4 linked regions of the Tamandua tetradactyla genome follow. The protein of the gene in region 1 interacts with the protein of each later gene in a pairwise test. Links are inferred from orthologs where the notes say so. Each region holds a gene or a part of one and is shown in the gene's direction. Other genes may lie near its edges.

Region 1 (7,035 bases):
CCTCTAGGCTGACCCTGGAAAGCAGGATTTCTAGGCTGTAAATGACTTGAGGGAAGGCCCTGGAAGTGCTTCAGATTCCTCAGGCTGACCTGAAACCAACTGACCTAGCTTCTCAGAGCTGAAGGAGGACTTTATCATTTTATAGAGGAGGAAACTGGGGCTCAGAAGGCCATTAATTTGACTAAGGTTCTACAACTGGTTAGCAACAGAACCAAGGCTAGAACCCAAGTGTCGCCTCCTCTTTCCTCTTTTTAAGATTCCATGTCAGACAGGTGTTCTAGAGTCAGGGACAAGAGGAAAAGGATTTGTTTTAGAACCACTCAGAAATGTCCTTCACCTCTCGGACTGCCTGTGCCTAGGCCAGTGAAGTCTTTATTGGCCTTCAATGGGTCATTTGGCCTAGGGCCTGGAGAAACTGAAACAAAAAATAATCTCCAAGACTGAACTTGGCTCAACTGAGAGAACTGAAAAAGCTTCAAACAAGCTTGGGTGGAAAAGTGTGTGGGAAGTGAGACAGGCAGAACCTCATCCCAGACAGGGCCTTGGGGCGAATTGAGGAGGAGACACTTGTGGAGCTGAATCTCTGGGATTCTGGGATTAGTATGACAGTTTCCAGGAGAGGATAGAGGCCAGGATTAGGCTCAGGAGTGAAAAAGCAACAAGACTTGGGGAAAAGGGGATTGGACCCTGGGTCCAGGGATGTCTGCTCCTAAAATGTTGTACTTATGGGTGAGGGTTGGAAGGAAAAGGAAAACATAAACATTTGGGGAAGAGTGAACTTTTGCCCAAGTGCCCAAGAGCTTGAATTCCCCTCTGTGTTGGCATTGCCCCAAGGTCCAATTCTTATTATTCCCCTTTTATTCTGATATTAAGTCCTCTGAGAGAGACCATTAGACAAAAATGCTCCTTTTTACTGGTACCCCCTGTCTGTCCTGACCTTGGAAATATAGGCTTATTTCTCCGTGTGACCAGGATTTCCCATTGGCACTAGAATCTTGGAAATCCCCCATTTTGGAGAGGTTATAAAATAGATCCTGTCCTAGAGCTCCAGGGATGAAGTCTTTTTTGGTCTCAGGAACTCTCTTGCCAATTGCTTTGGAAATTTGTGTCTGCCTGCCAATACCACCACCATTGCTTTTCATCCGCTCTTAGCCGCCATTGCAACCTGCTTGCCCACACCTCAAGCCAGCAATGGGAATTGCCCTCTCCAGTGAAAACCCGGAGCCACTGATTTATTTGAGATCTCACAAGTATTTATGTCAGCTCCTAGGTCTTGGCTCCTAATTACAAGTCTCAATGAAATGTAGCATGTCACAATTATATTTCAAAGCCAACATTTTTGACCCAAGACATTTAAAATGTACAACAGATTTTTAAACTTCAGGGAACAGGCTAGGGAGTGGGTGACAGTGAGGCAGTGACAAGATGGCAGGCATAACTTTTCAGGTTGTCAGAGGCCCCCTAATGGGCAAGGAAATGGGGAAGATGAGGGAAAGAAAACCCATAGCAGCAGCCAGGGCAATTTGAGGGGAAGTAGGCTGGCTTCCTGCCAGGGCCAGGGTCAGGGCTTAGCACTGATGCAGAAACTATGGACAAAGTTGCAACCTTCCACTAACAATTCCTTTGAGACCAAAATCTCCTGTGACCATTTCCTTCAGGTCTCCCTGTGTGCTGATTACCAAACCTCTAAGGGGCAGCTGCAAATGTCCATTGCTGTTGGTTCCAACCTTTACTTTTTCCATCTCCTGTCTTTTCGCCAGAATTTCTCCCAGCCATCGGAGTCACTTTCTGGACTCAGGGGGAAATCTCTGGGTCATGTTGAAGATCCAGTAGCATCCATTCCCATGGTTTCAACGATAGTCCCTCCAAATGGTCCCCAGCATCAAGGCTCGTATTTCTAACCATCTCCTGCACATTTATTTCCCATGGGATGTGTTTTCTTCATCTTAAACTCAGATGCCCAGGCTAAGGTCATCTTTCTTTCCTCCAAACCTGCTCCTCTTCCAGACTTGCCCATCCTGGCTCAAACCCTGGAAACTTCTCTGGTGTCTGCCCTCATCGTGTCCCTCCTTACTCAGGAGATCACCAAGCAGTCATAGCCTTCCCATCCTTTCCATGGTTGCTATCACCACTGGAGCCCAAATCTGCATCACTTTGCAATGTAGAATTCGGAAGGATTCTTAGACAGACAGGTCCTTCCTCATATAAGAAAACCATGCTCAGTGGATTCATGGGGTTTGCCCAAAGTTACACTGCTTGGTAGAGGAAGAACTGGGATCGGCATTCTCAAGCTCAGATACCCCGTTCATGACTCTTGCTGATAATTCCTTCTTCTTTCTGTGTTTCTTCCCTTTTCAGAAACTTGCAATCTAAGCTCTTAACCGGCATTTGAGCCTTTTCTCAATTTGTTCACAATCTACCTCTCTTCCTACCCCATCTTTTTCTGACACAAATAGAGCTAGCATTTACTGAGTATTTGCTGTCTGACAGGCACTGTTAGAAATGTTTTACATGGACAACGTACTTGATCCTCACAAACCTAGGAAGGAGGATGCTGTTATTATTCCCATGTTACAGACAAGAAAACAGAGGCAGACTTTTCCCCAAGCCTGAAATTTCTCCACTCCCCTCCTCTCCGTTCTTTAATTTCTGTTTTCCAATACTGTTGAGGTTTTCTCTTTTCCAATAGCTCTTCTCAGAGTCCTGCTAACAGCAGCTATCTTCTCCCTCCTCTACCCAGAATATTTCCCATCCATTTGGCCTGCCCAACTGGTGCTCAGTGCGCCCTGCCCGCCTTGTGTTGGTTCCCTTTCTCCAACAGCAACTCGGTAGACAGCGACCGGGTCTAATAGGCCTTTGTCCCCTAGGGACCTCCACGGCACTGGGCCCCGATGCTCCCTCGTGTCCTTTCTGTCCAGTGCTCCAGCTTCTCTCTCCCCAGCGTCTTGCCACACAGGGAGACCCTGGTCCAGGACACAACAACGAGGGCCAGCGGGTAAATGCGGGGCAATCTTCTAGATTCAAGCATCCCATAAGGAGCTTTCAGGGCAAGCAGCTGGTTGGATATGACTGAGTTCTGTACTTGCTGTCAGATGTGCCTCCAGGCTAGTGAGTGACTTCCTTTGGTGCTATACAGAAAGGTCCCTAGTCACCTCCACCCACCTCTGCCCCCTCAGTTATGGCCTGGCCTTCCTCACCACCACAATCCTAGACCCCATATTCATTTGGCCCTTTAAGAATCAGATTCTTCTCTTCTCCACTGCTTGGCAGGAGACTGCTCCCCCATTTCCAGATTCCTTTCTTCCTCCTCTGTATTCTCTGGATTTCCTGACTGTCTCAGTGGAGTCCTTTACCTTTTCCTCCCTCGCCCATGAGCCCTACTCTCTCCTCCTTTCTCCCTAGTCCCTGACCTGGGTATGTCAGCCCGATTATTGCCTAGCTGTGTTACCTTGGACAAGTTACCCTCCCCCTCTGAGCCTTAGCATTCACATCTATAAAAGGAGACTGTATGGTGAGTGATGTCCTGCTGAGCCCAAGAAATTCATTCTCCCTTTTACAGGCCTCCCCACCTCCTCCCCCCTCTTGGCTCCTGTCTTGGGTCCTATCTCCCAGGAGGGGCCTGCCCTTGCCCAGGAAAGCTGTGGCTCCAGCTCCTGCTCCCTTCTAAGCCACCAGCCCTAGGCCTCCACCCCAGCTCTCACCCCCGCTCCATGTGGTCCGTCTGTGAAGCTGGCCCCAAGCCCTACAGCCACTCCACGTTTCTCTGTTTTTCCTTTTTTTCCCCCCCTCTTTCCCGAAGTTAACAAGAAGCAGATGTGGCGTGCGATGGTTGGAGAGGTGGGGGGAGGAGGGGAGGGCTGAACCGCCAGCCAGACAGGGGGAAGGGAGGAGAGTAAGCAAGGGAGGGTGGCCCGAGGCCAGGGCCCGCCCTACAGCCACTCTCGAGCCTCTGAACGGCCACAGGGGCAAAGCCCTGTCACCCTCAGGATCCGGTCATCGGGGGGAAAAGGACAGAGAGACCAGAGGAGGGCCAGCTGGGCCGAGGGGGCGGAGGCCCAGGAAGCAGCATCCGCGAGGGGCAGGGACCAGACGCGGGAGGCCAGGGGGCACAGAGAACAAACTCCCCTCAGAAGCAGAGAAGAGGAGAGCGGAAAGAACGAGGGAGGGACAGACAGGAGCCTGAGGAGGAGAGAGGAGGGGGAGAGGGGTCAGGCCAGGCTGTTAAGGAGGAGGCGTGTGGCTTGGGGCGCCGACAGGAAGCCGGGGCCGGGCCGGCGCGCTCTGTCCCGCGGAGCCGCAGCATCCCCAGGGGCTGGGCAGAGGCGCCAGCGGCCAGGCGGCCGGTCCGGGATGAGTCTCTGAGGACCCCCACGGAGTGACCCCCACCATGGCCCCCAGCGCCCTCTGGAGCTGCTACCTCTGCTGCCTGCTGACCACAGCTGCAGGGGCCGCGAGCTACCCACCTCGCGGTTACAGCCTCTACACTGGAGCCGGTGGGGCCCTCGGCCCTGGGGGGCCCCAGGCCCAGAGCGCCCCCCGGCCCGCCAGCCGCCACAGGTAGGACGCTGGGCCCCAGCCTGAGGCCGGAGATGGGTGGGAAGGGCTGATTGAAGGTGGGCACATGGGCCACCACCTCGGCTGCCCCTCTCCCAGGGACACGATCCCCTGGTGCAGGGGAGGGAGGCGAGAGCAAAGCCGCCCATCAGCTGGCTGCTCACGTATTACCTTCGTGAGGGCCGCTTCCTGGGTCCCCTGAGCGTCTAGGCTCCCCGTTGATGTCGGGGGATCGGGGGACCAGTCCCTGGGCCCCCACACAGAGACCTGCAGTTAGCGCCCAGGAAAGCCACCCTGAGGGATGCGGGCCAGGCCTGGCTGACAGCGGCTGGGAGGCCACCGGCCCAGGGGCCTTGGGCAGACCTTTGTCCCTTTCTAGGGCTTCCTAGGCCCATCCCGTAATCCATAACCCTGACGCCACTCCGCTCTGCCTCTTTCGGCTCTCCAGCCACACAGGCCAGCACGAACAAGGTTGAGTGTGAACTGTGGGCCCCAAGGGGGATAGGGTTTATTACCTACTTGCCTTGAGCTGGGCCTTGGACTGCCCCACCCTGTCCCCCATGGAACGGGGGGAAGCCAGCGTCCAGGGGGTCACCCACAGGCTCCCGCGAGCTGACTCTCACATAGCCTATCAAGCTGGGGACTGAGACAAGGCCAGAAAGGGACACAAATGAGTGTGTGAGAATCCCAAGGACCCCACAGCCAGGCGGACTGACTTCTCTGTGGTTGTGCCTTTCCATTCCATGCCTCTCCACATCTTGAAAAGTCTTTATCTGCTCCTGGCATAAAGGAAGGCGTGGGGGGCAGGGGGAACTGTCCTGCCAAAACCCCAGGTCTCGCCAGTCCCCAAGGGCCCCTCATCTTTTGACCCTGACCCAGCCCTTCGGGGAGCCCCCGGGCCCTCTGCTGGGGCGTGTCTCCAGTCCTCAGGCCCACGTAGGTTTGTCCCTGCAGGAACTGGTGTGCCTATGTGGTGACCCGGACAGTGAGCTGCGTCCTTGAGGACGGAGTGGAGACCTTCATCAAGCCTGACTACCAACCCTGTGGCTGGGGCCAGCCCCAGTGTCCCCGCAGCATCATGTAAGCTCCCATGCCAGGGGCTGGGCTGGGACAGGGGGTACCTGGTAGGGGCTCAGAGAGGGGCAGAAGGTGGGGGCCAGTTCAGAATTCGTCCAAAGCAGGTAGCAAGGGGCAGGGCCTAGATCAGAGCCATATTGAGGCGATGCTGAGGCAGTAGTTTGGCTGCTGGGACACGGAAGGCCGAGGCACCCACCCTGCCAGCCCCTGAATACCATCTCGGGATCGGGGGACTGACATCTCTGGGCTGGGTCACCCTCAGGGAAAAAAACACAAGGTTCCAGAGCTGGGCAATAGTGAGGGGAAGAGCAGGCATTTGGCCCTTGGCCAACAGGCTGACAGCTGTCAACTGAGTGAGGCGACACACTGGACACTCAGGGTCCCAGCCTGAGGGACAGGCCTTGGCACCAGCAGCTGCTCACCTGAGGACAGGGGCCAGGGCCACAGACAGGACAGGGAGAAACAAAAGGGCCCCTCTGCCTCTCCCAGGTACCGCAGCTTCCTCCGCCCTCGCTACCGTGTGGCCTACAAAACAGTGACGGATATGGAGTGGCGGTGCTGTCAGGGTTACACGGGTGATGACTGTGGGGAGGGGCCTGCCCCTGAGCTGGGTCCGGCAACTACCACGCCACGCCCCCAGCCCCGGCCCGGCCGCCCCAACCTCTCCGGCTCCAGTGCGGGCAGCCACCTCAGCGGGCTCGGGGGAGAAGGTGGGTATGGGGGCTGCTGGAGAGAGAAGTGGGGGACGACCCTGGGCGGGAACTGTGGGGCTGAGCTGCTGAGAAAACCCCATGCCCTAAGTCAGAAGAAAGGGGCAGAGGGAGCCAGTGAGATCCCTGAGGTTCCCTGCATGTGAGAGAGAGGAAGAGAGGGAAAAGCAGAAGGAAGGGGGAGGGGAAGAGAGAGAGAGCTCGTATGTGGATGCACATATGCACACACGCACACACACACACACATGCTCACACGCTCCCATGTGTGATCAAGATACTTCCTTGCTGGGAAGAGCTGCAAGAGCAAGAGGGGATTCCTTAGAGAAGCTTTGTCCTTGGGGAAAGAGTTGACACTGCAAGTGCTAGCATGCATCCCGGCTGACTGCAGGTCCCAGGCCCCAATGTGGCCTTTGGAGACTGCGGGTCCCACAATGCCGCCATCCCTGAGGCTCGCCTTCCCTTGCATGTGTGCCAGGCACTCCGGATGTGCTGTTTCCCTAGAAGAGAGATAGCAGTCCTCGTAATCAGGGGAAAAGGCACATCCAGCTAACTCTGACCACCCAGCTAGAGCCCCAGCAGGCTTGCCTTGTTTGTCCCCATGGTGTTGTGGGGAAGCACCTCCCAGTAATAACAGCCTCGTGGTATCCAGCGTGCCTCCACCACTCCCTTTTTGCTCCTCCTGACAGTGTCACTC
Region 2 (7,237 bases), on another chromosome or scaffold:
CATTCGTACTGCCTTTAAGTTGTAAATTTGAAGACTTCAGCTCATCCCTTTCCCTAATCACTGTATCCAGAATATTTAACAACAACCAGCCAACATCATTTTCCTCTTAATTCCACAAAACTCCATAAAGGTGTCAAAAACACTCTCATCCAGAGTCTTGCCTCATATAAGGATACAATTAACAGAATCTAATGGTGATAATTTGCGTATCTCTCTTGTCAACTCACCCCATGGACTGTCAGTGCCATTCATCAATCCTTTGAGTCTAACCAGAGCAGAAAACCAATTGTAAAAACCCATTTTTAAGATTCTGTTTCTCAAGAACCACTCCTGGGACCAACCTGTATCACTCAGGGTTCTCTAGAGTAATAGAATTAACAGCAGATATCTATAAATATGAGATTTATAAAGGCGTCTCACACAACCATGGGAATGGAAGAGTACAAAACCCGGTAGGGCAGGCTGTGAAGCTGGCAGTTCCGATTAAGGGTGTAGATGAACTCCACAGGAAAGGCTTGCTGGCTGAAGAAGGAATGAAAAGAGTCTCTCATCTTCCTTAAAAGTCTTCAACTAATTTGATTATCTCCTTTGTGGGAGACGCACCTTAGTTGATTGCAGATGTAATCAGCCACAGAAGCAATCAATTGATTTATGATTTAATACACCAGCTTTCCAGTTATCAATCAGCCACAAAATATCCTTGCAGCAACTGTGCCCAGTGCTTGCCTGCCCAGACAACTGGGCATCATCACTTGGCCAAGTTAACACTAGAAGCTAACTATCACAACCAGCAATGAACAATCTGAAAATGAAATTAAGAAAACAATTCCACTAACAATAGTATCAAATATAATAAACTATTTAGAAATAAAGTTAACAAAAGAAGTTTAAGACTTACATGCTGAAAATTACAAAATACCATAGAAGGAAATTAAAGAAGACTTAAATAAATGGAAAGGTATCTTGTGTTCATGGATTGGAAAACTTGATTCTGTGAAGATACTCCCCAAATTGACCTAAGAGTCCATGCAATCACTATCAATATCCAGGATGCCTTTTTTTTGGGGGGGGGGGGGGCAGAAATTAACTAATTCTAAAATTTACAAGGAAATGCAAAGAATCCAGAAGAGCCAAAATAATTTTGTAAAAAAATAATATTAGGGGACTCACCCTTCCCAATTTCAAAACCTACAACAAGCCTACAAAATCAATATGGTGTGGTACTGGCAAAAGGAAAGACATAGAGATCAATGGAATAGAATTGAGAGTCCAGAAATAAGTTCTTATCTTTATGGTCAACTGATTTTTGACAGGGGCACCAAGACAATTCAACGCGTTTTTCAATCTCAACAAATGGTGCTCAGGAAACTGGGTATCCACATGCAGAAGAATGAACTTGGATCCCTCTCTTACACCACATATAAAAATGAACTTAAAATAGGTTAATTTTATTAAAACTATACATTTAGAGCTAAAACTATAAAATTCTTGAAGAAAACATAGGCATGGACTGTTATGATCTTGGATTAGGCAAGGGTTTCTTACATGTAACACTAAAAGCATAAGCAACAACAAAGAAAAATTGGATAAATTGGATTTCATCAAAATTTTAAAATTTTGCATTTCAAAGATGTTATCAAGAAAATGAAATGAAAACTCATAGAATGGGAAAAAATATTTGTAAATCATTATCTGATATGGGACTAGTATCTAGAACATATGAAGAATTCTTACAACTCAACAATGAAAAGACAAATCACTCAATTAAAATAATGGGCAAAGGATTTGAATATACATTTCTCCAAAGAAGATAAACAAATTGCTAACACATGAAAAGATGTTCAACATCAAGAGCCATTAGGGAAATGCAAATCAAAACCATTTCACACCCACTAGAATGGCTAACATTTTCAAAATAATAAAAATGGGTAAATGCAATGTGGTATAGCCATTCAATGGAATATTATTCATCCATAAAGCAGAATGCAGTTCTGATACATGCGACAATATGGATGAAACTTGAAGACATCATTATGAGTGAAATAAATCAGACATAAAAGGACAAACATTGTGTGATCTCAGTGATAAGAAATAATTAGAATAAGAAAATTCATAGAGTCGGAAATCAGAATAGAGGTTACTTGGGGCCAGGGCGGGGGTAGGCAAAGGGGAGTTAATGCTTAAATTGTACAAAATTTCTCTTTAAGGTGATGGAAAATTTTTAGTAATGAATGGTAATAATGGTGGCACAACATTGTTAATGCAATTAACAGCACTGAATTATATATTTGAATATATGCTACTAGACCAACAATTAAATACAATACCACAAACAGGGAACTTTAATGTAAACTATGGACTATAAAGTTAATAGTGAAATTTTAATAATATTCTTTCATCAATTGTAACAAATGTACCACACGAACACAAGCTGTTAATAGTGGGGAAGGGGGACAGTGTATGGGAAGTCTTATTTTCTGTTGATTTTTCTGTAAATCTGTAACTTCTCTAAAAAAAAAAAGAGATATCCCTTCATACCCACTAGTACAGCAATGGTAAAAAAGATGGTAGATGATATGAACTTACAGATTGTAGCAAAACAAAGCTAACTGTTAAAAATGAACATATATATTTAAATGATTATAAGTAGTAAGAATAAGCTATGTCTAAGAAAAAAAGTGATTTTTTTTCTTGCAGTTTTCCAAATCATTATTTCTTCTGCATTCCTTTATTCTCCCCCTAAATGGGAGAGGAGGAGTAAGAGGAAGAGGGGCAATTGTGCCCCTTATAGATCTTTTCCCTCTACTACTTTATCATTGAAGCCATCACCTCCATTCATTAAACTATAGGAACTTATCCTGCATAAACAACGGGAACACAGGTCTTGCTACAACTTTCAACAATTCTTTTTCTAACAGGTGCTTCATATATGAGTATGAAATAGGAGGAAACAATTTGCAAGTAATCGGAAAGAGATATTGAAAATATATTGATATATTGGGAAGGCAATAGCCAATACTCACCCTACAGAAGGCAGAATGGGAATTGAGATTGCATTTGTCTTTGCATGGCTGAGGGGAAATTAGTGACACTACAGAGGTAGAGGCTGCCAATAAATATGTTTCTCTCCTCAATCACTCCTTAATACTCAAGTAGGAATAGCAGACCTCACAAGCCTATCCTGAAATGGATGAAGCATTTTTCATTAGAAAAGCTTCAGCTGGGAAAGGTCATTATTTTTTCAAAGCTAAAAAGAAAAGAAAGGAATTAATAAATGGAGAAAGGGGGGGATGTTAGAGAAGTGAGGTAAAAGGGGTCTTAAAGAATGCAGCAGCTATGGAGGAAGCAATTACATAAATTACATAAATGCCATCTCTTCCATCAATGTTAGTTTTTCACAAGAAATGTGAGTTGGGTTGATGAAGCCTTAACAGAGTGGACTGGGGGAGCTCTCTATTCCCCCAGGGAAGAAAGAAGCATGTGATATGTGATTCTAGATACTGAAGTACTGTTAGAAAAAGACCAACAATAACAACCACAGAATCTTCCATTTACACAGTTTTACCCATTGCAAAGCATTTTCATACCCACTGCTCTACAAAGTACCTACCTGCCATGCAGCTGCCAAATAACCAGCTTCTTCTAGTTGATATTTGTTAGGCACCTGTCTCTCGTTCCCAGGCTCAAAACCTGCTATCCCCAAAGCCTACAGCACATACCTGAGTGTATTTGCGGAAAAACACTCCTTGCACTTTTCCAAAAATTTCATAATCCACTGATATCAGGGTGTCCCCTTCTGCCATACTCAAACCTGTCAGATACAAGGAAAGCAGAAAAGTAAAGGACTATAACCAGGTTCCCCAACCTAGAGCAGAAAAGGCCACAACGCACACTTCTTCATCCTTATCCACTTGCGACCTCTCTCCGACCTTTAGGTCCCGGATCTTCGAAGAGTAAGTAAATGGGTATGTGTTTGAGCGTACGTGTGAAATAACGAGAAGACACCGAGGCATGGGAGTTTCGGGTCGCAACTGTCCACAGACAACTCTTTTGAGGCCTCTTACCCAATAACCTCCTTCCATCCATCCGGTCCCGCTTCCTCCCACCCCCTTCTCCTGTCCACCGACCCGGCTTCCACACGGCCGTCAGAATCCCCCTCTACTAACAATTTAGAACTAACTACACTCACCCGCACTGCCCGCAGCCGCGTCCCAGGGTCACCCTCCTCGACTTCCTCACAAGACCCGAAGTCCTCCCTTAGCAACGCCAACGCCAACGGCTCCCCTAGCGGAATCCACGCTACGCCCGGAAACCTACAGCGTGGCTCTTCCTTCGTTGTCTCTCATGTCCATCATCTAAGCCCAGCCAATCATAGACGGCATACTTATGCCCAGAGCCCGCCTAGAGGGTGGGACTTCCCGAAGCAGTGGTCTTTAGAGCGCTAGCTATGCTGGAATTGGAGATCTGTAAGGGTCCGGACTCCAGAGTGGTCCTTCACTCTGCCTCACTCACTAAGCGCACCCCTTTTCTCATGAGGATAAAGACATCGACGAAGGAGCACTTAGGATACAACTAATCATTCAGTAAGTATTTACTAAGAGCCAAGAGTATGCCAGGCACTGTAAGAACCTAGAGGTGGTTGGCATACATTAGTGAACAAAACTGACAGGATCCCTGGCTTGCCCGGCCTAAATTCTGGAGGTGAGATACAGCCATTAAACATTAAACATAATAAATAAATTAAATAGAATGTATACAACCTTTCTGCTCTTTTTAAGTTCTCCCCAATTTTAGGTCATGCCTAGGCCTGGAATTGAAAGCAGGAGAAATGTACGGGAGGTTCCAGTGGAAGTTGTTTCTCCCTTGTGCGCTTCTGGAAGCTGCCCACCAACCAGAGAAGGAAGGAGGGAAGGAGGGAGTGAGGGCGGGAGGGAGAAAGGAAAAAAAAAATTAATGACTTCACAGAATCACAATTGAATCAATCAAAGTGAAACGACCAAACTGCATGAATTTATTTTGGGAAAAGGGAATTGTCCAGGGGAGTTTTGGGTTAGAATGGTTAAAATTAGGCACTACTTGTGGGTCTTCAGACTCAGCCAGTGACCCTTGGGATTAATACTGTGAAGGGAAACTGTGTTTATCACTTTTCTTCGAATTGCTTATATACATTACCTCTCTCCATAACCTGACCCTTCATATGTGAATGGTTATGTTAGGTTAGAGTGGCAGATTTAGCTATGATTTTGCAGATATGGGCTTACAATGGTGGCCATGAGGATCCAGATCCTAAAGAAGCATAAAATTTTAATGCTGGAAGGGACCTAGACTGAATCTTGTGCTTGGCAATATTTGAGAATAAACCTAGGCAGAGTACCTGGCTAATGTTATTTCTTTCTCTAAAATTCATTTTTAAACCAATTTTTTTCTATAGAATAAAAAACAATAGAATCTATTAGGTGCAGGATACGTAGGATATACAAAGATAAATGGCATATAATATTTTCCCTCAAAGAGTTTTAAATTTAGTGTTAAAGACAAATATGTATGCAAATAATGACAATACAATGCATATCATCGTAATTCAATTACACAAACATCCACTGACAGCTCATCATGAGCCAGTCAGAAAATATTATGGACAGAAATATTATGGGATCACAAAGGAGCAAAGAGATTAAATCTGACTGGAAAAATTGGGAGAGGCTTCTTGGAGAAAGGAACATTTTATCCAAGATTACTCAACCACAACCAGTAAATGATAGAGCTGGAAGTTAGTCCCAGAAGTATGAGTTCAGAGCCCACTCCTATAAACTATACACTCTACCACCTCCCAGGATGTGAAGCTTGGGTTAAGTTATTAGCACTGAGGTGAGAGACTCAAACATTCAGTTGTGGTTATACCAGGGATTCTCAACCCTGGCTGCACATTAGGATCTTTGGGGAAACTTTAAAAATACCAATTCCCATCCTGATACTGTGTCACACTTTAGGGACACCCAAATCAACAGGCCAAGTCTTTGATCTTGTGAAGCTTATGTAGGTAGCAGAGAAACTTAGTTTACCTATAGGTATGCTTAAGAGATACTCCTGGATGACCTCTTTTGTTGCTCAGATGTGGCCTCACTCTCTCTAAGCCCAACTCTGCAAGTGAAAACACTGCTCTCCCCATTACATGGGACATGACATCCAGGGGTGAAAGTTTCCCTGGTGGCATGGGACATGAGTCCCTGGATGAGTCTGGCCCTGGCACTGTGGGATCAACCATTACATTGTGGCCAAATGGGAGAAAGAAGTGTAACTAATAAAGTATAAGTGGCAGAGAGAGTTCAAATAGAGTCAAGAAGCTACTCTGGAGGTTGCTTGTATGCAAACGTCAGTTAGACATTGCTTCCTATAATGTCAAACCCCAACCAAAACCATTCCAGCCAATCCTAAAGAATACCTAGGGCAATATATAAGATTCTACAAAGGTTCCATGCACTAGGGTAACCTTCCAGAAACCTACGACCTCCAGATGGGTCACTGGACCAGGTAAGTCCTGAAGCCTAGAGAATCCAGCCTCTCTAGAACATCAGCTAGTTCCATTCCCCTGTCCCATATTATTAACAGTCCCTTCCAACATGAAAAAGTTAGATGGCCATAGCCCAAATACCCTTAAAGAATGGGACAGAAAGATCAAAGGTGATGATGGAGTTATACAGAGAAGATCGGATTTAACAAAAGACTATGATTGCTGAATCATTAAATTGATATCTCTTTTAGTCTCCAGTATCTTAGAGTAGCTAGAAATGAGGTTTGTTTTGCAGGGGAAAGTTAAGCATATTTGAAAACCAAGGAGAAGGAGGAGTATGTCGAGAGGGACAAATTCAAGTTAACAAGATGGAAGGCTAAAGGAGCCGTCCAGGAGGGTACTGAAAAGGATTAATTCAAGAGTGCACATGGAAAGAGAGAGCCCTTGCTTCCTCAGAAACAAGAGGGAAGGAAGTCAAGATGCTAGGGAACTCTACCAGAGTCAAGGGAAGATGTGGAAGTTGATAGGCAGGAAGCCCGTTGGTGAGATGACTGAGACCTTGGGAAGAATGGAAAATGTCTGGGACTGCATATATGGAGAAGGCAATAGAGAGTCAATTGGAAATGAATCCAAGGATTCAAAGGATTTCCCTGGAAGGCACTAAGGAGTTTCTTTCTAACCCAATGTAGTAACACTGACCACTGCTGACTACATTATTTTCCATAT
Region 3 (6,739 bases), on another chromosome or scaffold:
CAAATATATAGAGAGTAAATAATGCACCTTTAAACAAACAGTGGGTCAAATAATAAATTGCTAGAGAAATCAGTAGCTATCTGGAGACAAATGAAAATGAGAAGACAGCATATCAGAACTTATGGGACGTGTCAAAGGCTGTGCTGAGAGGGAAATTTAATGCTATAAATGCCTATATTAAAAAAGAAGAGGGTGAGACATGGTGGCTCAGCAGGCAGAGTTCTTGCCTGCCATGCTGGAGACCTGGGTTCACTTTCCGGTGCCTGCCTATGCAAAAAAAAAAAAAAAAAAAAATCAAAAAGAAGAACCAAAATTGACAACTTAACTGCTCACCTGAAGGAACTAGAGAAAGAACAACAAATTAACCCCAAGGCAAATAGAAGAAGAGAAATAACAAAGATTAAAGCAGAATTAAATTAATTGAAGAACAAAAGAACAATAGAAAGTATCTAAAATCAATGGACCTCTATCTAGGCAGATGAAGAAAGAGAGAGGATGCAAAGAAACAGAATCAGAAATGAGAGGAGGGTCTTTACCACAGACCCTGAAGAAATAAAAACAATCATAAGAAGATACTATGAACAACTGTATGCCAACAAATAGACAACTAAGAGGAAATGGACAAATTCCTGGAAACACACAAACAAGCTATACTGACATACTCTTAAACAATGTTCTGGTGTGAAACTGTCACGTACCTCAAAAAACCATGTTCTTTAATCCTCATGCAATATTGCTGGGTGGGATCTTTTTTAATGTTTCCATGGAGATATGACCCACCCAATTGTGGGTGGTAACTTTTGATTAGATGGTTTCCATAGGGATGTGTCTCCACCCATTCAAGGTGGTGTTGCTTACTGGCACCCTTTAAGAGGGAGCTATATTGGATAAAGCTTCAGAGCCAAAAGAGCCCACAAAGACAGAAATCTTCAGGCATTAGAAGGAAACCCCCTGGGAAGCCTTATGAAGTGAAGAGAGAAAGCTAGCAGACATCACCATGTGCCTTCCCAGCAGAGAGAGAAAACTCCAAACTTTATCGGCCCTTTCTTTGGAGTTATAGTCTCTTTCTCTGGATACCCTACTTTGGACATTTCTATGGCCTTAGAACTATAAACTTGCAACTTAATAATTTCTCCTTTTAAAAGCCATATCAGGGCGGTGCGATGGTGGCTCAGCAGCAGAATTCTCACCTGCCATGCTGGACACCTGGGTTCAATTCCCGGTGTCTACCCAAGTTAAAAAAAAAAAGCCATTCCATTTCTAGTATATTGCATTCTAGCAACATCAGAAAACTAAAATAAACAACAAATGAGTCAAAGAAATCACAAAAATTAATAAATATCTTGAGGCAAATTAAAATGAAAGCACAACACACCAGAAGTTATGGGGTGTAGCACAAGCAGTGCTGAGAAGAAAATGCATAGCTCTAAATGCCTACATCAAAGAATAAAGATCTCAAATCAGAGACCTAAATTCAAAACCAGGGGATCTAGAAAAAGGAGAGCAAACTAAATCCAAAGTGAGCAGTAGGAGGGAAATAACAAAGATTAGAGTGGTGATAAATGAACAAGAGAATAAAAAACAATAGAGAGACTCACCAAACCAAATGTTGGTTCTTTGAAAAAATCAATAAAAACAATAAACAATAGGTAGAATAGTACAACAAAGAAAAAAGATAGGTTAAATAGCAAAACTAATAAATGAATGGGGGGGTCATTATTACTGACCCCACAAAAATAAAAGGGACCCTAAGAATATACTATGAACAACTGTATTGTAACACATTAGATAACCTAGATGAAATGGACAGATTCAAAGGAACACATAAAATTACCTACATTGATTCAAGAAGAAATGAAAGATTTCAACAGATCAATAACTAGTAAAGAGATGGAATCAATAATCAAAAATCTCTTCAACAAAGTAAAGTCCAGGATCAGATGGATTCACAAGGGAATTGTATCAAACATTCTGTGCTGGTTTGAAAGGATGTGTGTACCCTAGAAAAGGCATGTTTTAATCCTAATCTCATTTTGTAAAGGCAGTTGCTTCTTCTAATTCCTACTCAGTATTGTATGCTTGAAACTGTAATTAGATCATCTTCCTGGAGATGAGATTTAATCAAGAGTGGTTGTTAAACTGGAATAGCTGGACGTGTGTCTCCATCCATTTGGCTGGGTCTTGATTAGTTTCTGAAGTCCTATAAAAAGAGGAAACATTTTGGCGAATGAGAGCGATTCAGAGAGAGCACAGCAGAATGACATAGCCACGAGAAGCAGAGTCCACCAGCCAGCGACCTTTGGAGATGAAGAAGGAAAATGCCTCCCAGGGAGCTTCATGAAACAGGAAGCCAGGAGAAGAAGCTAGCAGATGAAGCCATGTTTGCCATGTGCCCTTCCAGATGAGAGAGAAACCCTGAACTTCATTGGCCTTCTTAAACCAAGGTATCTTTCCCTGGATGCCTTTGACTGGACATTTCTATAGAGTTGTTTTAATTAGGACATTTTCTCGGCCTTAGAACTGTAAACTAGCAACTTATTAAATTCTCCTTTTTAAAAGCCATTCTGTTTCTGGTATATTGCATTCTGGCAGCTAGCAAACTAGAACACATTCCAAGAAGAATTAACACCAATTCTGCTCAAACTCTTACAAAAAAATTGAAAATGATGAAACATGCCATAATATTACCTCATACCAAAAGCAGTTAAAGATACCACAAGAAAAGAAAATTACAGACCAAAATCCCTTATGAATCTAGATGCAAAAATCTTTAACATAATACTAGGAAGCCAAATTCAACAGCACATTAAAAGAATTATACACCTTGATCAAGTGGGATTTATCCAAGGTATTCAAGGGTTGTTCAACATAAGAAAATCAATTAATGTATAACATCACATAAACAGAACAAAGTAAAGAAATACATGATCATAACAATTGATGCAAAAAAAAGGCATTTGACAAAATCCAGCACCTCTTCCAGATAAAAACACTTAGAAGATCAGGAATAAAAGGAAATTTCCTCAAAATGATAAAGCTTATATATAAAAACACACTGGCACCATCTTACTCAATGATGAAATATTGAAAATTTTCCCCAAAAGATTAGGGGAAGCAAGACAAGGATGCCCTCTGTCACCACTGTTATTCAAGACAAATTAAGGCACCAAGAGTAAGATACCTTCTCTAAGGAAAGGTTGCCGCATCCAGGGTACCTCTGTCACGTGGGAAGACACATGGTGATGTTTTTTGGCCCTTCTTCCCTGGTTCTGGTTTCAATGGTGCTATCAGCTTATATGGGTCCTTCTGGATTCCCCTGGGTCATCTTTTTTCACTGAGCTCTCCCCAAAATGTCTCTGGACATTTCTTTATCTCTTAGCTTCTCCTGCAGCATTTTCTTTCTAAGCTCACTCTCCGTGAGCTCTCTTAAAGAACTGCAGTAAAAGATTAAGATCCACCTTGAATTGGGTGGGTCACATCTCCTTGGAAGCAGCCTAACCAAAAAGGTCCTACCCACAACAGTTCTGTACCCAGAAGAATAGATTAGAAGAACATAGGGTTTTCTGGGGTACATAACAGATTCAAACCAGCACAATCTACAACTTCTGTAATAAAAACATTTAAATATTTAAGAGGGTGAAAAACCTGGTAATAAACATAAATCACACATGCATACATACATACAAATATGTGTCTGTATGTATATATAATTTTAGTTTTATATCTTTTTTTTTTTTACGTGTCATTTTAAAAATGAAGTTAGGGTGGTGCAATGGTGGCTCAGTGACAGAATTCTCACCTGCCATTCCAGAGCCCCAGGATCGATTCCTGGAGCCTGCCCATGCCAAAAATAGAAAAAAGAAGTTAAACTTTCAATTTTCAGATAATTGTAGCTTCACATGTAGCTGTAAAAAAAAAAAATAAAGAGATCTTGTGTTCGTTTACCCAGTTTTTTTTTTCCCCAAGTGGTAAAATCTCCGGCCAGGAAACTGACATTGATATAGAACCTTACAATCACCACAAATTTCCATCCTATTGTCTTTTTTCATCTACACCCACTTCTCTCCCTCCTTCACCTCTTCATCTCCTGGCAATTTGTTTTCCATGTTTATAATTTTTCTGACTTTAAGAACGTTACATATTTGGAATCATATAGTATGTTATCTTTTGGTATTGACTTTTTTTCCAGTGGGCATTATTCTCTGGAGAGTCATCCAAGTTGTTGGGTATCAATAATTCCTTCTTTTTAATCACTTTTTAATCGCTGAGTAGTATGCCATGGTACCAATTTGTTTAACCATACAGCCACTGAAGGATGTGTTAGTTGTTTACAGTTTTTGCATATTATAAATAAAGCTGCCACATTAAAAAAATAATAAAATAAAAGGCAAGACCACAGGCCTCACGATGGGATGCAGACCTTCCCTGGTAACCAGAGAAGGGCTGTGGGCGCACTGCTGTGTTACTTCTTGTGGTCTCTTCCATTGGAGAAAACCAAGATGACTGACGGGGCTATGCGCTGGGACACCTTGGCTCAGAGAGGCGCGAAGGGGTGCCTGTGCCTGTGCCTGTGGTGGAGAGGGGGAGGGTGGAGGGAAGGAGAAGCGGTGGAGAGGTATCATGTTGCACTGCCCTTCCACCGGGGTGGGGGTTGGGGGTCGGCGGTGTCGCACGGCCCTCACGTGACCAGGAGCTGCAGAGTGACGCAGCTTTCAGTGCAGTCTTCACTCCCGTCTGGGAACTAGCTCCGTGCCGCCGGCGCACAGCGGGCTGGCATCCGGCCCGGGCAAAGCGGGGCAGGTAAGGGTCCCGGGACCCGCGAGCTGTGGCGCTGCAGCAGCCGCCTGCTGACCCAAGCGGCGGGCACAGGGGGAAACAGCGCAGGGTTCCTGGCCAACTTCCACCCCGACACACCCAGGCATTTGGGGGAACAGAAATGGTGGCCCCTGGTGGGATGGGAGAGTGCAGAAAGGCTGGTATTCCAGGGAGAGCAACAGAGCAACCAAGAGAAACATGGGAAGTCGCCTCCCCCGGGGTCCCTGCTGGAAAAAGGCGAACACTGCGTGGGGAGTACGGGGAGTGGGGTGGCTGAGGGTGGAGACGGGAGACGTGGGCGATAGCGGCGAGGAGGTGTCTGTGAAGGCGCTGGGTGGTAGCGAGCCCGTGCCAAGCGCTCGGTAGCAGCAGACCTCCCGCTCGCTCCCCTCATCCCAGCCAACTGTAGGTCTGCGGGCCTGACGGTCAGGACGAGAATCCGGAGGAAGAAGATACCGCCAGGATAGGCCCAGGTCGGTGTGAGGGACCGTGTTGGGGGCGGGGCAATGTCGAGGCCAGTCTGAGACCCCCCCTCCCAAAACCCCATATCACCCCCACCCAGGTCCTCCATTTTGGTGCCTGCGGAATCCTGGAGCTGATATGTAGGAAAAAATGGTGGGCTTTGGGGAAGGGAGGGGTGATGGGGGAGTGGAAAGGAGAGACTTGGGCTGGTAGTTCCCTAGAGGGCGTACAAGTTCTCTCAGGTGGGAAAAATGAAATTTAAAAACCGTTGATATCCAGGGCTCTATGGCCTGTTGATCCGTGCATAATGCATTTAGTCTCTGTTCTTGCATTTGTCCTACTTCCGTTTAAAGAAGACCAGAAAAAAAATCTCTTCATGGCAAATATCCACCAGGAAAACGAAGAAATGGAACAGCCGATGCAGAATGGAGAGGAAGCCCAGGGCGAAGGCCAGCCACCTGCAGCAAATAATAGACAGGGACAGGCTCGCCGACTTGTCCCTAATTTTCGATGGGGCATACCCAATAGGCAGGTCAATGATGGGATGGGTGGAGATGGAGATGATATGGAAATGTTCATGGAAGAAATGAGAGAAATCAGGAGAAAACTTAGGGAGCTGCAGTTAAGGAATTGTCTGCGTATCCTTATGGGAGAACTCTCTAATCACCATGACCATCATGATGAATTTTGCCTTATGCCTTGACTTTTGCCATTATCCATGAGATTAATACTGTGATTTCCACTGACTTTTTCTTTGCATTTTCCTGGTATGCCTTTTCTGATCTGTTTACTGTGAATCTAACGCTATTTCCAAGTCAGTGGACCTTGTGCTACCAGTTTCTAGTTGGAGGTTGCCTTTACACCCAGTCTAAATCTGCCAGCCGATTTTCACCTGTTTGCATGGAAAGATGTAAAATTAATAAAGCAATTTAAAAAGCAATCTATACATTTATTATTGTCTCATTAAAAACATGTATACTTCTATATAACAAATATGAAGCAAAAAATCTGAAATTAAATACACCAGAGTGTTGGCTGGGGCACATTTCTGCGTAAATACTGCTTCAGCATATTTAAAATAGAGTAAACCTTAAGTCTTTTCCAGCCTTTTTACTCAGCAGAATAAATTCATCCATTACTACAGATGTATTTCTAAAGGATTAGTCTTCTGTTTTGTGAAATAGGGAACAATGCTTGCTTTACAGGGCTGCTGAGTAGAACAGATGAGGTGTGGAACTGTTTTAGGCTGACTCTTATCCAGATCCCCAGCATTTACGAGGACCCTGGACCTCATCAGTTAATTGGGGAGGATTAAAAGCCATTTGCACCTGTGCTCCCAAGGCTAGGTGGCAAAAAGGTGCGTTCCACCATACCACTCCTGATATTTGCAATCTCCTGCTACCCTGATTACTATCATGTCACTTGGGCATATTTTCTCTTCTGCTGGGTCCTGTTCTCTCTG
Region 4 (7,778 bases), about 22 Mb from region 1:
CTTTCCAAATATTTTCTTTATTCCTCTTTCCAGATGCCCATTTTTTAGGGGAGGTTAAGTTCATACACACATTTGCCCCACTATCAACAGAGTTTCTGGGGCACAATTTCTTTGACACTTCTCCTTTTGAGATATGGGGTCAGTATCACCTCCCCTTGAAACTGAATGGGATTTTGTGTCTGCTTAGACAAAGAGAGTACAGTAGAAGTGACATTATGGGATGTCTGAGATTAGGTCATAAAAGATGATGCAGCGTCTACGAATGCTCATTCTTGAAGGTTTCAGCTGCCATGTATGCAGTCCAACTGCCCTGGGGCTATCATACTGGAAGGAATACCAAACTACCTCCCAAGGAGAGGCCACAGGGAGAAGCATTGAGAGCACAGAAGGAGGCAGAGAGAGATGCCTGGCCAGCCCCTCGTTCTTTCAGCCCTCCCTCTTCTCCATCGTTTCTGCTCCAGCAACCAAATGATGAATGTTGTTTTAAGTCAGCATGTTTGGGGAGTTGTTTTATTACATAGCAATACTGTCTGGACAGGCCCTCTTCGTTCCCACTTCATCACTTTTTTCGAAGGTGCTAGGTTCCTGTTGTTCTCATTGTGGTAAAAAATGAAGTGGCTCAATGACTGAGCTATGGGAAGCAGACATAGAGGATGTGGCTATTAGAATGCAGTAGCTGAACATAGGGCCCACTGATCATATTAGTATCCTCAGAGCTTTCATTTTGTGGCTGTGTACAATGAAATTTTAGCCTTCCTTTCCTCAGTTTAGAAAAGCTCTTTTTTTCCTAAAATCCAAAGTTCAGAGGAAAAGGCTCTGAATCATAACATTCAAAAGCAGTGCAAGATAAGTCTAATCTAAATTAGTGTAATGGAAAGGACCTGGGCTTTTGCACTCAGAAGTATTGTCATTGGGTTTCTGCCCAACTGTTTGTTTGTGTGTTATTCTTCCTGTCACACTTTCTGACTTTAAAGCATATTAAAGTTACAGTGGTCAAACCAGCATGGTATTGGCACAAAGATCAATATATTGACCAATGGCATCAAATTGAGAGTTCAGAAACAGATCCGCACATCCAAGGCCAATTGATTTTTGACAAGGTTGCCAAGTCCACTTAACTGGGAAAGAATAGTTTCGTCAACAAATAATGCTGGGAGAACTTTATATCCACATGCAAAAGAATGAAAAACAACTGCTATCTCATACCATATACACAAATTAACAAAAAATGGATCACAGATTTTAATATGAGCCAGGACTATAAAACTCCTAGAAGAAAATATAGGGAAGCATCTTTAGGATCTTGTGTTAGGCTATGATTTCTTAGACTTTATACCCAAAAGAAAAAAAATAGATAAATGGGACCTCATTAAAACTAAAAAATTTTGTACATCAAAAGACTTTCATGAAAGTGAAAAGAAAACTAATGCAATAGGAGAAAATATTTGGAAACCACATATCCAATAAAGGTTTAATTATCTGGAATATATAAAGAAACCCTACAACTCAACAATAAAAAGACCCACAACCCAAGCAAAGATGGGCAAAAGACCTGAATAGATCTTTCTCCAAAGAGGATATAGAAATGGCTAAAAAGCACATGAGAAGATGCTCAGTATCACTACCTATTAGGGAAATGCAGATCAAAACCATAACGAGATGCCATTTCACACCCACTAGAATGGCTGCTATTAAAAAAAAAAAAGCTGAAAATAACAAGTTCTGGAGAGGATGTGTAGAAATAAAAACACTTATTCATTGTAATGTAAAATGGTGCAGCTGCTGTGGAAGACAGTGTGGCAGTTCCTGAAGAAGCTATTTACTATATGACCTGGCAATTCCATTTGCTACTTTTTTGCCCAGAAGAATAGAAAGCAGGGACTTAAACAGATATTTCTATAATGATGTTCATAGCAGCATTATTCACAATTGCCAGAAGATGGAAGCAAACCAAGTGCCCATCAACAGATAAATGGATAAACAAAATGTGGTATATATACATATAGTGGAATATTATTCAGCCATAAAAAGGAATGAAATTCTGATGCATGCAACAACATGGATGAATCTGGAGGACATTATGCTAAGAGAAGCCATCACAAAAGGACAAGTGTGTAATTTGAAAGCTGCCTGAAGTATACCAGAACTGGAATGGCTCTTAAAAAGGGGAATTTAATAAGTTACAAATTTACAGTTCTAAACCTATAAAAACATCCAAACTAAGGCATCCAGAAAAAGACACCTTAATTCAAGAAAGACTGTTGGTCTGGAACAGCTCTGTCAGCTGGGAAGCCACTTGGAGCATCTGCTGGTCCCTTGCTCCTGGGCTCCATTGCTTTCAGCCTCTATTTCTATGGGGGTCCCACACTTTGCTTCTCTGGGGCTGGCTTTCATCTCTTGGCTTCCCTTGGCTCTCTCCAGGTTCTGGCTTGCTTAACATCTCATGGGAAGGCACACAGCAATATCTGCTAGTTCCAACCATCTCCAAACATCCATGTCTCCACTCTCTCTGTTGGCTCTCTCTCTCTCTCGCTCTGTCAGCTCTGTCATTTCTGACTCTCCAAAACGTTTCCTCTTTTAAAGGATTCCAGTAAACTAATCAAGACCCACCTGAAATGGGTGGAGTCGCATCTCCATGTAATCAAAAGGTCACACCCACAATCGGGCATGTCACCTCTCCCTGGAGATAACCTAATCAAAGGTTACTGCCCAACAGTATTGAATGAGGATTAAAAGAAGCAGCTGCCTCCACAAGATTGAGTCAGGATTAAAACATGGCTTTTCTAGGGTACATAATATTTTCAAAGCGGCTCAACAAGTATTCTATGATCTCGCTGATAACTAATTAGAATAAGCAAACTCATAAGGTCAGAATCTATAATATAGATCACCAGTCAGTAGACTGGGGGTAGAGAATGGGGGCTGATGCCTAATTTATACATAATTCCTATTTAGGTTGATTGTAAATGTTTGGAAATGGATGGTTATGATGGTAGCACATTATGGTGAGGGTTAATTAACAACATTGAATCATATAGGTGATGTGGTTAAAAGAAGAAACTTTAGGTCATATATCTTACTAGAATTAAAAATTAAAAGACAAAACATAGGATTGTATAACACAATGAACCCTATTGCAGACAATAGACTATAGTTAATAGTACAAGTATAAGAGTGTTCTTTCATGAATTATAACAAATATAACACACTAATACAAAGTGTTAGTAGCTGGGTGGTCCATGGGGGAAAATATACACAATGTAAACTATGGACAATAGTTAATAGTACTATTTTAGTAATCTTTCTTCTTTTGTTCATTAGATGTTTTGGGTGCATTAACATTTCAAAATTAGCTTTTGCCCCTTAAGGGCAAGGGTCATGCTAGATCCACTGTTTTCAGTCCCTACAGTGCTGATAACCATGTAGGTACTCAATAAATGCTAGCTGATTATTTGATAGAACAACATCACATCTAGATGATCATATATCAATGTCATTTGTTATCTCAGAATGATGGTAAAAATTTAATATGTGTAGGGTTCTGAGTAAGTGCTTCACATGCATTATAAATGCCATCATCTTCCCTAGATTATCAGAATCTTCTGAGACACTTATTTCCAGGCAGTTCGGACAATAATGTGCTTGATTACAGCTTCACTGAATTATGTTAATAGAATGGAAACCCATCTCATTACTGTTAAACTTGACTGCCATCTACTGTCCACATAGTAAAGTAAAGTAACATTTTGTACTCTTCCCCCACCCCCTCCAGGCTCTATTCTTTACTACTGAATTTTTGTTTTCCCCAAACCTCAAGGGCTTTCCTTGCTTTGAGCTTCAACCCACAGTAGAAGTAATTTTCTAATAGTTGCCAGTGTTACATTATAACAATACAGCGTGATATTAATTTTCTCTCGTGGGTAAAAAAAGTTTTTGGCTTTATAGAAGATTAAGCATTTTTTACTTAATGACATGATGTTCTTTTCATAGGATCCCCCTCCCCAGGAAAATTAAAAGGAAAAGTTCATGAAAAAAATCTTTCCTACATAGCTATCATTAAATTGGATATCTACCTTGGTCACATTTCATTTAGAGTATAAATTTGATTCATCCTTCCGCGTTATCCTTTCAAATGTTACCTTTTCCATAAAGCTTTTCTCTGAGTGTTCAGGGAAAATTCTCCCTTCCAGAATTGATAAGTACAAAAAAGAAGGAAGACAAAAATTCCAGTTCTCCCTTCTCTCTTGTTTTCTGTTTTCCGTTTGCAGAAAACAAGCTAAACTAAACTTGACTCAGCTAAACAATCTTTTAACATGATTAAAGATTGGAACATGTTACCAAAGACAAGAACAAAAGTGGGGACAAGTGTTGGGTGATCTCATGTGAATTTGTGACAATTTACTTTGGGTCCGAAAACTAAGACTTTGGCCAACTCTTCTCAGGTACTATGGTGAGGGTTTCAAAGATTAATGAAGTGACAGCAGTTCAGGACTCAAACCCTTGCGTATCCCCTCTTCCCCCTTCCCTCTTTTAGAATTAAAGTATTAGTTTAAAGGGGGAGGAGAGCAAGCAAGGAGAAATCATTTAAATAAATTTCGGCATAACTGGGGCATCTGGCTTAGCTGGATTGTATTTAATGGTGAGGCTGTGAGGTGGAGCAATCAGAACACACTAACTAGCCTTGGATTTCATAGCCTTTAGCAAGTCACTTGCGGTTTTCTCATAGGATAGAATTAATCACTTCCTCTTCTGTGCATTGTGTGTTATGTCTCTCTCGGTCCTAGCAGGTATTTGCATGCTTTTCCTTTTTCGGGTTCAAGGTCCTGCAGCTGTGGCACGGAGCTCTCAGTGAGTCGGCGGCGTCCAGCCCTGTGTCCCATCCCTCACACCTGGCAGCTTCTCCCGGGTCACAACCGCTGATCCGATCCTCTACCTGCCTTCTCTTCGTGGCGACTGGATGAAATTCGCCACCATTTACCGCGACCCCTCGCTCTGATAAGTCCTTCGCGGCGGAGAGGGGCTACTCACGTGGAAGGAGGCAGAACAGGACCTGTCTCGCCGCTCCATCTTACTGGGCCTTTTCCGATAAGGCATATTAGGAGCGTAGCATGTGAAGGCAAAGAAAAGCTTTTTCCTTGTAGGACCACACATCTTCGGATCTGGCTGCCTTGCCGGAAGCATTTTCATCGGACCCAGCTGGGGCTCGACTTCCTGCTCTGCCTTCTCTGTCTTCGGAGTTTTGGGCTCCGCCGCTTCCGCCCGGAGTTGCTCCAGGATCGTGCAGCCAACAGCTACTTCCGCCAGGAGTTCCCAGCCTCGGCCTTAGAAGCTGCTTCTAAAACGGCCTCCTCCTCGCCTTAGCCTGTCCACCAGAGGCCGGGGCCTCCAGGTGTCGGGGCGGCAGCCGCTGGCCCTGCTGCGGGGCATTCTCTGTGGTCGAGTCCTGAGCCCGGGGAAACGGGAAGTGCGGGCGAGACTGGCCCAGCCCCAGCCTCGGTCCTCCCGCGGTCAGTGACCGTGGCCGCAGGCCTCGCCGCGCCCACCCCAGCCTGGGGCGGGGCCCGACCTCCCCGCCCCGCTCTCCGCCCCTCCGGCAAGCCCAGGGCTGGGTCATTCTCCTGTTCGGCCCTGCGGCGGTGTGGCAGCACCTCAGGACTCGGCAGTCCACTGGCTGCGGACGCTGGGGGGACATGGAGTTTGTGGAGTTGATCAAGACCCCGCGGGTGGACAATGTGGTGCTGCACCGGCCTTTCTATGCAGCCGTCGAGGGAACTCTGTGTCTGACGGGCCACCACCTGATCCTCTCCTCCAGGCAGGACAACACGGAGGAGCTGTGGCTCCTCCATTCAAACATAGACGCCATCGACAAGCGGTGAGTGCCCATCCCACCTGCCTATTTCACGGGAACCAGAGGGCGTTAGGTGGACGCCTAAAGGCACGCTTCCCGGTGTTTTCCTTGCGTCTCATTGTCAGACCAGCCAGCAAAATGTGCTCTTTCTGGCCTAGATTCAAGGTTTGAATTTTAGAAAGGGAACAAAACAGAAAACAAAACCATCCAAGCAGGATACCTGGTTTCTATTAACTCAGTGGAATTCACAGGCTTCTCAAGTGGTTATCATCTTGATTACTGTTTTTGGTGCAAATCTATTTGTTTGGATTTTCAACTTTTTCTTTTTAAATTGTCATTGTCCAATCGTATTTTCTTGAAGAGTTATTTTTTATCGCAGTTGATGAAGTTGTGATTCAGTGTGATTTTAGGTAGTCTTTGCTTACCACCTTCCACTGAGGAAAACTGCAAGAACTAAAATATATGGTTATCAGGGTGTCTGAATTCCATGAAACTGCTTTTCTCTCTCTTTTTTTTCTCAAAAGAGTTCAGTTTGTCACATTTATTATTTTTTACCTTCCTGACCATTAATTTAATACTTTCCATTGAGGGAGATTGTAATTTCTTCTATTCATTTTTATTCAGTTTTGTTTTTGGAAAGGAAAGAATTGGCTTTTAAACAAAAGCATGAAGTAATTAACCTCTTTGCACTCCAAGCTATCTTTTCAAGGCAGTGTCTCAGAGATGAAAAGTTATGCTTACATTAGAAGTCAAAATTACCATTTCCCAAATATCATCCCAGTGTATCACAGTGTTCCCTGATGTCTGTTACACTAAGAATGAATGAATGACAGCAGCTTTTTCTATTTATTCTCAGGAGAATTTGGGTACTATGAGGATTTCTGGTGAGATTGTGCCTCAAAATAAAATAATTTATAATGGTGGAAATCCATGCAGTATGGGTAAAGGTGCAGTGGATTTATTTATTTTTCAAACAGAGTGCTTTTAGTAGACGCCTCGGGTCATGTTTTCCTGTGTGAAAGTTTTCTTTGGTCTCTCATTGTTTTTGCAGAATAAAGTTTAAATTTTGTAGTCTGTCATTGATTGCACTCCATGTTTTGGCCCTAACCTACTTTTCCCACCTTATTTCTTGCCATTCCCTCTCATGAACCCTTGTCTTTTCCATTCTTGAACCCTTTTTACTAGCCAGTCCTCACTATTTAATGTTGCTCACACATGCCTAGCATTTTCTCATGCTCTTCTTTCTGCCTGGAATGCCCTTACTCATCCCAAATGTATAAAACAGTATTTTTTAATGCCTTCCTGTTCCAGACATATTGTGAGGCACTAAGGACACCCTGATGAATGAAATACAGTTCTTGCCTTTCATGCGTTCATAGGGTATGATCCTTCTGTTACCCATCTATCAATATTCAGTTTAGCCAATTGAATGCCATCTCCTTCACAGATTTTTCCATTAATCCTACAACTGGAAATAGTTCCCCTTACCTTAAAATCCTATAGCTCTTTAAATTATACCTCTTTCAAAAGTATATTTTCACTGGAGATCCATGTTCGGTTCCCAGTGCCTGCCCATGCAAAAAAAAAAAAAAGTATATTTTCAAATTTGTATTTTAATGTTTACGTATATTTTAGCTTGTTGAAGCCAAGACTTACATCTCACATTTGTATCTCCTGCAGAACTCCTAACCATGGCTTGAGCAGGTAGGCACATAGGAAATAGGGAAAGGATTGACCACAGAACTGTCACTGTGCCATAGAATACTAATTAGTAATCTCTCCATTATCTTCAGCTCTCTCTCTCGTTTTTTTTTTTTTAATTGAGGAATCTTCACACACATACAGTCCATACACGGCATACAATCAATGGCTTACAACATCATCACATAGCTGTGTATTCATCACCTTAATCATTTGTAGATCACTTGCG

The links.
Region 2: the proteins of EMILIN1 (region 1) and ZC2HC1C interact in binary tests that used the Homo sapiens proteins (3 or more experiments, as listed by UniProt). The two-hybrid records come from large-scale screens. The link is inferred for Tamandua tetradactyla from reciprocal best matches to the Homo sapiens genes EMILIN1 and ZC2HC1C.
Region 3: the proteins of EMILIN1 (region 1) and protein BEX3 interact in binary tests that used the Homo sapiens proteins (3 or more experiments, as listed by UniProt). The two-hybrid records come from large-scale screens. The link is inferred for Tamandua tetradactyla from reciprocal best matches to the Homo sapiens genes EMILIN1 and BEX3.
Region 4: the proteins of EMILIN1 (region 1) and MTMR9 interact in binary tests that used the Homo sapiens proteins (3 or more experiments, as listed by UniProt). The link is inferred for Tamandua tetradactyla from reciprocal best matches to the Homo sapiens genes EMILIN1 and MTMR9.

The regions. Positions count from the first base shown.
Region 1 is NC_135329.1:10,850,858-10,857,892, forward strand, and holds the start of EMILIN1 (EMILIN-1), read left to right. Parts: upstream 1-4,026; 5' UTR 4,027-4,387; coding exon 4,388-4,557; intron 4,558-5,508; coding exon 5,509-5,634; intron 5,635-6,120; coding exon 6,121-6,341; intron 6,342-7,035. UniProt on the Homo sapiens protein: Involved in elastic and collagen fibers formation. It is required for EFEMP2 deposition into the extracellular matrix, and collagen network assembly and cross-linking via protein-lysine 6-oxidase/LOX activity.
Region 2 is NC_135338.1:34,146,134-34,153,370, forward strand, and holds the start of ZC2HC1C (zinc finger C2HC domain-containing protein 1C), read left to right. Parts: upstream 1-4,223; 5' UTR 4,224-4,583; exon of another isoform or gene 4,584-4,707; intron 4,708-4,760; exon of another isoform or gene 4,761-4,880; intron 4,881-7,237. Other genes in the region: ACYP1 (acylphosphatase-1), read right to left, coding at 3,720-3,811.
Region 3 is NC_135353.1:70,565,446-70,572,184, reverse strand, and holds protein BEX3, read left to right. Parts: upstream 1-4,666; 5' UTR 4,667-4,800; intron 4,801-5,214; 5' UTR 5,215-5,288; intron 5,289-5,630; exon of another isoform or gene 5,631-5,633; 5' UTR 5,634-5,653; coding exon 5,654-5,980; 3' UTR 5,981-6,217; downstream 6,218-6,739. UniProt on the Homo sapiens protein: May be a signaling adapter molecule involved in NGFR/p75NTR-mediated apoptosis induced by NGF. Plays a role in zinc-triggered neuronal death.
Region 4 is NC_135329.1:32,776,369-32,784,146, forward strand, and holds the start of MTMR9 (myotubularin-related protein 9), read left to right. Parts: upstream 1-4,778; 5' UTR 4,779-5,690; coding exon 5,691-5,872; intron 5,873-7,778. UniProt on the Homo sapiens protein: Acts as an adapter for myotubularin-related phosphatases. Increases lipid phosphatase MTMR6 catalytic activity, specifically towards phosphatidylinositol 3,5-bisphosphate and MTMR6 binding affinity for phosphorylated phosphatidylinositols.